Linked DNA regions of Lytechinus pictus. The protein of the gene in region 2 binds, or shares a complex with, the protein of the main gene of each other region. Links are inferred from orthologs where the notes say so. Each region holds a gene or a part of one and is shown on either strand. Other genes may lie near its edges.

Evidence for each region. Proteins that work in one complex are often made in the same cells at the same time.
Region 1: the proteins of condensin-2 complex subunit H2-like (region 2) and condensin-2 complex subunit G2-like are in contact, whole or in part, in a cryo-EM structure (PDB 9F5W), measured with the Homo sapiens proteins. The link is inferred for Lytechinus pictus from reciprocal best matches to the Homo sapiens genes NCAPH2 and NCAPG2. Residues at the interface, in NP_689512.2 of Homo sapiens: Pro316, Trp317, Gln318, Ser319, Leu320, Pro322, Phe323, Asp324, Ser325, Leu326, Glu327, Ser328, Lys329, Pro330, Phe331, Lys332, Lys333, Gly334, Arg335, Pro336, Tyr337, Ser338, Val339, Glu344, Gln360, Asp361, Phe362, Gln364, Trp365, Tyr366; in NP_001268861.1 of Homo sapiens: Lys248, Leu251, Gln252, His292, Ile294, His295, Leu296, Pro297, Arg299, Ser300, Val302, Lys340, Ala341, Arg342, Asn343, Ser344, Glu345, Val346, Pro388, Tyr389, Pro390, Arg393, Gly425, Glu426, Ala428, Phe429, Asp430, Thr431, Ser432, Arg437.

What each region holds. Positions count from the first base shown.
Region 1 is NC_087247.1:41,091,583-41,095,182, forward strand, and holds the start of condensin-2 complex subunit G2-like, read right to left. Parts: upstream 2,330-3,600; 5' UTR 2,234-2,329; intron 1-2,233. UniProt on the Homo sapiens protein: Regulatory subunit of the condensin-2 complex, a complex which establishes mitotic chromosome architecture and is involved in physical rigidity of the chromatid axis.
Region 2 is NC_087253.1:9,891,924-9,897,285, forward strand, and holds the start of condensin-2 complex subunit H2-like, read left to right. Parts: upstream 1-1,883; 5' UTR 1,884-1,916; coding exon 1,917-2,021; intron 2,022-5,081; coding exon 5,082-5,239; intron 5,240-5,362. UniProt on the Homo sapiens protein: Regulatory subunit of the condensin-2 complex, a complex that seems to provide chromosomes with an additional level of organization and rigidity and in establishing mitotic chromosome architecture.

The DNA of each region.
Region 1 (3,600 bases), on a different chromosome or scaffold from region 2:
TCCATATCAAAGAGAAAAATCAAAGAAACATATTGTTGAAAGTTTGAGGAAGATTGAATGAATAATAAGTTATGAGCATTTGAATATTGAGATCACTAATGCCATGTAGATCCTCCCATTGGCAATGCGACCAAGATCTGTTATGTCACACACGTACAACTCCCTCATTACTTTAGTACTTAATTCACTTATATTCTCACTTTTATAGAGTCTATCACAAGGTGAGGTGTTCTCTTTATGAGAGGACAAGTACAGAGGTTTCACAACATTATATCATTTATGAATCGTTTGTCATATGATTAGAATGAGCAAAAAGAAATGTTTTGGGGTATATTTTCTGTGTCCAAAAGGGGAGAGTTGTTCATCTGTGACATCATAGATCTTGGTCGCATTGCCAATGGGAAGATCTCCATAGCATTAGTGATCTCGACATTCAAATGCTCATAACTCTTCTATTGCTAGTCCTATTTTAATCAAACTTTTGTTGATCTTATTCTTTGATTTTTCTGCTTTCACAAAAGCTAACTTGCTCCAAGCGTTTCATTCTCCTTTAACAATTGATATTAATAAAGAAAATGAATAGGCAATAGCAATTGAATAAACAATATTAAACATTAATATACAAGCAGGACAAGCTGCGATGCGAAACCATGCCCTGGAAAAAAAAATCCTTTAGCAATTGATATTAATAAAGAAAATGAATAGCAATTGAATAAACAATATTAAACATAAATATACAAGCAGGATAAGCTGCGATGCGAAACCATGCCCTGGAAAAAAAAGATATTAACTAGAAAAGTAAACATGTCTCCATGGTAATAAAAATGGCTTTAATAAAAGTTTTTTCTAAATGCCCCCTCCCCCAAGTATTTTTTACCCTTATAATGTAGAATAATGTTTAAATCATTCACTTGACATGAACATTTTGTTTTACAACAATACAGTACATCAGTAATACATCAATGAAGTTTTATTGCATCATATATTTTCCATAGATTTCCAATTAATTGAATATATATTTATTTATATGATACGGAAAATGCATATATATGTTTCTAATAATTCATTATTAATATTCAAGCATGCGTCGATCACCTAAATCAAGCCTGACATGGCATGACAATCATTTGATTAAAAAATAGCAAAAAAAAATAGTAAATAGTAAGGACCTCCCTCATCACCAATGTAAAAAAAACAGGCCGAAAAAATGTCTCCTTGTTTTTAAAAAAATAGTAAGATAGCAAATAGTAAGGACATCCCTCATCACTGCTCTCGAAAAACCCGGACGATCAACTACTTTCTTTTTTTACTTGGCCTTAAATTATTTGCAAAAAAGTGTAATCATCGGCAATAATAATCTTGAATTATGTTTTTGAAGGTATTTCATTTATTGGTGCCCATATCTAATCAAGTAATAAGATTTGCGCATTCAAAGAATTTACTATTCAGACACAGTTATCAAAATTACAGAGGAGCTGAATCAAGGCTGTGAAATTTATTAATGCCACCATCCGTCATCGGGCTTCCTTAAATAAAAATCATACAAAGAAGAGGCGGCAAGAGCAAATTTGCTTACCTCGGTCTGGAAAGTGACTTTGCATGTCTCTTCTACTTAATTCTAGTCTACGGAAATAAGTTTTATTTCCGTAGACTAGAAGAGACATGCGAAGTCACTTTCCAGACCAAGGTAAGCAAATTTGCTCTTCTTTGTATGATTTTTATTTAAAAAAAAAAGAAAAAGGAGCGATTGTAACATTTGTATGGCTACTCACCGGTGACTCCGCGGTGAGTAGCGAGGAGTTTCGGCAAATATTTTTTCTGTATTTTGTAAAAAAGTGTAATGAACATGAAGCGATGTTTGCCGACTAGAATAGAAATCCAGGGCCAAACACGGTTCGGTGTACGAGGTTAGTATAGCATACTAACCTCGTACTAGTGTGAGCGCCCCCCCCCCCCCCCACCAAGAATGCGGTTGACTTTGAAGTTTTACAACACGGATGTCGTGCACTTGTTTAAACAAAAATACACAACACGGCATCTAACGGATGGGACCGAAATAACAACTTTGGGAGAAGAAACACAACTCTCGATCGATCTCACTCAGACTCTGCCTTGATTACGATAACATTTTTGTCCAAGGAAAAGCATCGAAGAAAACAGAAAACATACTTTAAACACACAAATCCGTTACAAAGTAATTTCTTCTTTTTTTTAAAGGAAAATTGAAGCTTACCTCCAACCAAGACCAAGTCAGTGAAGCGAATTACAAACAGTTCGAAAAACCGCGCGCTCTTCCGAAATTGTCCGGAAACTACCGATTTCGGAATATGAAGTAGTCTACTAATCCAGACCATAATCAGATCACTAAAGATGTACCCAGTTTTTGTGTGTTCGGACAGGTTGTGTGTCCGGACAATCGATTTTAAACAGACATTTGGGAAAGTTAACGGGAAAAATTCCATCAATTTTTAGTGAGAACAGTTAAGCAATATTATAGAGAACAAAAGTGAAGAAGATTGCAACTTATTGAATTTTTATTTTTTGTGTGGCCATGGACCTAGTACCGGTACTAGTACTCTGACATGGTACCAAAGTAAAGAAGGCTTCAAAATTTGAAGTGTCCAGTCACCCCACCGGACAACCCATATACCGGCACTTGGACACGTTTGACTATATCATCTAACTTCGTTAAAGATCTCTAGATCTATGGACCAACTTGATATCCCCAAAATACTGAATTGGTAATAACAGGTCATCAATTGTATGAATTAGAAGGGGAAAACAACATCCCGGCCAGTCGAGAAAGAGGAGAGTTAAAAGCTGGAGAAAATAGTGAGAATTAAAGTCACACACACACAGATCATGATTCTGAAGTATACAATGGGTAATATTCTGATAAATAAACTCATTAATTTTATGCATTTTATCCTTTAAATGACAAATATTTAAATCTGTTCCAAAATGATATGATTGGTTTTAATCCCAATTCAATATAATTTAAAGCCTGGAGTAGGATTTGAACCCATGATTCGCTGATTAGGAGATGGAGTAAAAACCACTACACCATACACAACATGAGCCTGCGTACAGCTCAAGATGTACAGGTGTACCACTGCATCTGTCAATTTCAATTGTTATGCTTTTGCGACTTTCAGTTTTCATTGAAATCAACTTGGCCTTTGATTCTCTAATAACACTACCACATAAAACATTTTCCTAAGTGACAATTGTCTTTAAAGACATATAAACTTTCATGACTTTATTCATTGAAGGTGAGTCTGTGCCTCTTTCACACACTTTGTTTAAAAATCCAAGGACCTCTTTCTCTTGATCAATGCCTAGATGGATGTAAACAAGTATGAACACACCAAAATCAATATGTAAAATGATTAGATTGATAGTATACTTTATTCAAAATACGCATTACCTTTGAGGTTGCATATATTACATAGCAAAACATTATCTTATCAAATATAATGCATATCTGACTGCTTATTTCAAATACCCTAAAATCTGGGGGTTTTTTTAAACAATTTTGTTTTACCTATGTAGCAGCCAGGGGATAAAAAAGGGTGGATCACCCCTCCCCCATGACCTTCA
Region 2 (5,362 bases):
ATGTTTGATGAATTTCATTTTTTTTGTCACCTGTATACCTCTGACATTTGAAAGGAATTAGCGGTAACTGCGGTCTACTCCAAGGTACAATATTTCTGAATTTTATATATTTTTTCGTAAATTTGGATGTAATTTCTTTTTTATGATGTGACATTTTAAATAAAAAAACAAAACGATCCGAAAATCGGGTTTCCGCCGAATGTTAGATCTATCATCTAATGTTACTGCTAATACGTTGTCTGTACGTACAGGCCTCCAAGCTCTTCAGTCTATGTATTGGTGAGTGGAGCCAACGCAGTTCAGCGGAACAACCAAAATACAGACACTGAAGCTTTTGGTCTACATTTTGATGTGCCAAGTCTGCGCAGTCCCTAGCATATGCTAGAGCCGGACTCTGATAATTTTTCATGGCAAGACTTCCATATGTCCCTTCTATTAAAATTGAAAAAAAAATATGGAGGTTTATCAAGAACTATCTAACATAGTTCTATATCTAAGAGATTTAGGAAGGAAAAGTTGGATACATACCAAAATATGGCTTTATTCCGTCAAAATCTTGAGTGTGTGTAATTCCTAATGGCATCGGTTTATTTAGTTAGAAAAATAAATACCCAATACTCTTGGAGAGTAGACTAGTCGTAATATCGGTTGATATTACAACTGGGCGTTTTGGCGTGCGCCTGTAATCCAAGCTGTGTGGGGAAGTTACAAATTGATGTAGAGGTTCGAGCCCTGGTCGCGTCTTTCGGATGGTGACGTTAAAGGTCGGTCCCAGATGTACATAGTCATATCTGATTGATACACGTCTAACAAAACTCAAATACACACACACACACGATATGATATCCAGTTTACTTTTGTTTTCTCTGTTGCAGCTTACTGTAGCAGAAGAAAATCAAATGTGCTGCAGAAACAGAATGCATGCAAAAAGAAATGAAACGAAAAAAAAGAAAAAAGGGGGAAAAACAATAGCAGGAAAAAAAAGGAGGGGGAGGAAAAAGAAAAGAAAAAAGAATTATCACTTTAAAAGGACAAAAATACAATATGTCTATATAAGAAGAAAAGAAAAAAATGCCGGAAAAAAAAGAAGCAAGAAAAGAAAAAAGAGAACAAAAGAAAAGAAACGAAAAAAAAAGAAAAAAGGAAAAAGAAAAAGAATTTAAAATAAGAAAAAATAAGAGGGAAAAAGAGAAAAAAAGAAGAAAAATAACAAGAAAAGAAAAGAAAAAAACAGAAGAAAAGAAAACAAGAAAAGAAAAGAAACGGGAAAAAAAATAAAAGAAGAGAAAAGAAAAGGAAGGGGGAAAAAAAAAGAGAGAGAAGAAAAAAAAAGGAATGGGAAAGGAAAAAAAAATAATAACAAGCTATTGAAAATGAACAAAAGCTGTGGCAAAAATAGTCAATCCTGACTGGTTGCCAACCAAGGAAAGAAGAAGATAACCATTATGAAACCCATGGCTTTCAGCAATTCCTGCTAGCTCGGTGAGTAAGGCGACAGACTGGAGATGCCTCGATATATGCAGCGAGAGGTTTTGATCCAAGTTCCAACTGGAAGTAAGAAGACAAAAAAAAAGAAAAAGAGAACAAAATGAGGGGGTTTTGGAGAAGTATTTTTTTTTTAATTAGTGGAGGGGACATATGGAAGTCTTTCCTTTTTCATATTTTTGTCATTGTCTTTTTAACTTTATCATGGAGACTTGACACAGCCTCACGTAGGCTGCGTGTCAAAGACGATAAACAAAGAGCCAAGACCATTTCGCTGAGGAAGTCTGCAGTTTTAGCAGCCAGAAATTTTGATTTAGACCTAGCTCTAATTCTTCAGATTTATTCTTTTTATTTGTCGAAAGCAATACCGGTAGTTCAACTTTTCCCTGCTATCTCTTGACATTTCTCTCTTTACAGGATTGCCTGTCGAGATGGAATCCGACGCGAGGTTTGCTCACCTTCTTCAACCCATTAGGGATCTAGCGAAGAACTGGGAGGTTGACATTGCATCACATCTAGAGGATTATGTTGCTGAGGTATGGCAAACTGGGATACAGGGGGCTGTTTCATAAAGCTGTTCGTATAAAGTTAAGAGCAACTTTAAGAACGACTGGTGATCCTTTCTTGTGGTAAGTGATATTCACCATCAAATGGTCATTGGTGATTATTCAGTATGTAAGAAAGGTTCACCAGTTCTTAAGGTCGCTCTTACGAACAACTTTATGAAACCCACCCAGTTTATATTTTTTTTGAAGGGGTATAGATTGTGGAGTACCGCATTGGTGACGTCACAAAAAAAAGTTGTTGCACTTCAGCATTTCTTATACCATTTCGGTAAGGTTCTAGGAAATTTGCTCCAGCGACAATCGCTCTGCTGTAATGCAAATATCACACAATAATGAAATGACCGACTTCCACCCTGGATTTAACACTATATCCTATCCTAAGCCTAACATAAAATGCTATTGCAACCCTCACCCTAATGCTATATCTTGGACGAAAGTAAGCCCCGAGCAATTGTCGCCGAAGCAAATGTCCTGTCACCTTTAATAGGTACATGTACATGTAAAACCCAAAATTGGTGCGAATCGGTCCATGGGTGCCCAAGATATGACCTCATTCACATTATTAGCCCAATTTAAATCAATGTATTATTTGTCTGGATTTGATTTGACTGAGGTAATATCTGTTGGCTTCCAGGATGGACAAATTCCCAACTAATGCAGATGTACTGACGTATATGTATTTCATCATGCTCTACAAAAATGTGCCTGTATTTCTGAAAGGCAGCTTGAGCTAAAGCCGTGGTAAAAAATGATAATAACAACGCGCCTCGGAATAGAATATTTCTAGATGGCGCTATATAAATGCATATTGTTTGTTTTTATTATGTTGATCATGAGTGATAATTTGCTCTATATTTCTTATGTTTACTTATGAAAAAAGATGTACATTCTCGATTTATATTCATACAGGGTGTTTCTAAAAAGGATAACCAAGGTTCAAAGGTCAACTACATGTATATCAAGACTACATTATATATTCTTGTGATTTATTTTTTACATGACTGAGTAACTCATCAACTTCCATTTGACACCTTGCTTTAATATTAAAGTCACAATTGTCGCCAGTCACAGAGTTATGGTCAATCGAAGACAAATTGTAAAAAGCCTACTTTTTCTGAATTTCGGGTTTTAATGTACGTGCACGAAACCCACTTTGTTGTAGGGTTTTGGTTTCATCAGAGGGATCCCTTCAAATTTTGGTGAAATGTTATTACTATTCTGATATTTTTTTCGAGGGAAAGTTAGATAACTGGTGTCTACATGTAGCTGCACTTTTGGTCGAACACATCCTTTGTGACTTGCAGGCACATGTTTAGCATGAGATAGATGTTCTTTGTTTTAATACAGTCCCGCAATGGTATTTGTATTTTATTTATTTAATCACGGTTAAAAAGCCTGCTTTCAGCTAGAAGCTGCTTTTCAGCAATGTCGTGGACAAATGATAACAAATAATATCAACATAAATAAACATACAAAAATAAGAACGAAAAACAAAATATATCAAAGCATGGGTAAAATACAATTGGTAAAAATAAAATTGGAGTAAAAAAAAAAGAAAAATAAATAGACGAAAATAACATACAAATTTATGTCAAAATTAAGCATTAAAAAATGAAGGTATATAATGCAGTATCAAGGGTGATCGGGGTGGAGAATTAAATTAAGAAAGTGATATGAGACGTGCAAATGTAGTCACGTTTTTTTCTAATCGGTTAGAAGAGCAATGCAAGACGGTCAACGTCGAAAGGGGAGCTATTATACATGTACTGTTGAAACGTTGGAATATGTTGGTGCAAAAGGTTTGGATGAATAACTGGTTCAACAGTATACAAATAGCGAATAGGCATGAGTGCGATGGTGCGAGATTTCGCATGAGGTGAATAGAGCGTTTCTTTCTTTCACCGAATGCGAAATCTCGCACCATTGCACGAATAAGAATATTCGCTATTTGTGTTGTACAACGCCTCAGAATTTAGCGAAAATATGAAAAAACAAAGAGTTTATCCCTATAGTAATCTATGAAAAGGGAGCAAAAATACCGAAAGCAGAAAGCAAAATCACACAAGCGCACATGACCTTGGGCAGCCTTGCGCATTTAGCCAGCTGGCTTATACGCGTATTGTTCATTTTTACCTAGCGCAATGAATTAAATCGTATTGTGACGTCACCTCCTAAAGCCGTGCAACGGTACATTTTGGACGGTACATTTTGGATGGTACGTCTTTTGTGCAACGGTACGAATGTTTGACATTCAGCCTCCCATTTGCTCGCGTACAACAAGCTAAGTAGGCGTTGTACAATGATTGCAGATAGGCAGTTGAAATGCCAATGCCAGTCACTCACAAAGGTGAACAGATGGGATAGCATTTCTCTATGAAGAGGGAAATTCTACGATGAAACCCAAACCCTACAACAAAGTTGGTTTTGTGCATGTACATTAAAACCCAAAACTTGGAAAAAGTAGGTTTTTTACCCTTCACCTTCGATGGACCATAACTCTGTGGCCGATGACAATTGGGACGTGAGCAAGGTGTCAAATAAAAGTTGATGAGTTACTTAATCATGTAAAAAAAAGAATAAATCATATAAACAGGGTAGTCTTGATGTAGAAAAAACAAAAAAAATCGATATTTTATTGTTCGAAATAGACATGAAATGAAATACTCTGAAAATTTGCTTTGCCCAATCATGGGCCCGGCAGCCGCTGTGCAGCGCCAGATCGATGAGGCTCTATTCCTTTTAATCGTTGAACGCCAAACAGGTGAGCAGCAACTCCCATCTTTTAACGTCTTCTGGTCTGACTCGGCCGGGGTTCGAACCCCTGACCTCCCGGATGTGAGACAGACGCTCTACCAACTGAGCCAACACACCGGTTGGCCCAAATAGTTGACCTTCGAACTTTGTTTACCTGTTTTTAGAAACTTCCTGTATTTATATGCAATGTCATTGTGATGTTTCTTTCATTTCTGTTTAATACAAATGAACTAGAGCACAAATTCAGATTTGAATCTTTTTGTGATTTTTGTTTAGATGGAGGTGATTGTAATCAGCTTCGATGGCGGTTCTACCACAATGAACTTTGCGGAGGCAGCGCTTCTAATTCAGGGTTCAGCCTGTATCTACAGCAAGAAAGTGGAATATCTCTATGCCCTGGTCTACCAAACCTTAGATCTGCTTGCTAGTAAAAAGTAAGTTAATTTGCAAGTTTCTACACCCTTCAATATTAAAATCTTACCGTGGCTACATGAATCTGGTCGACTTAAAGTGGGAGTTCGCCCTGAAGAAAAGTTTGTTGTAAAAATAGCAGAACA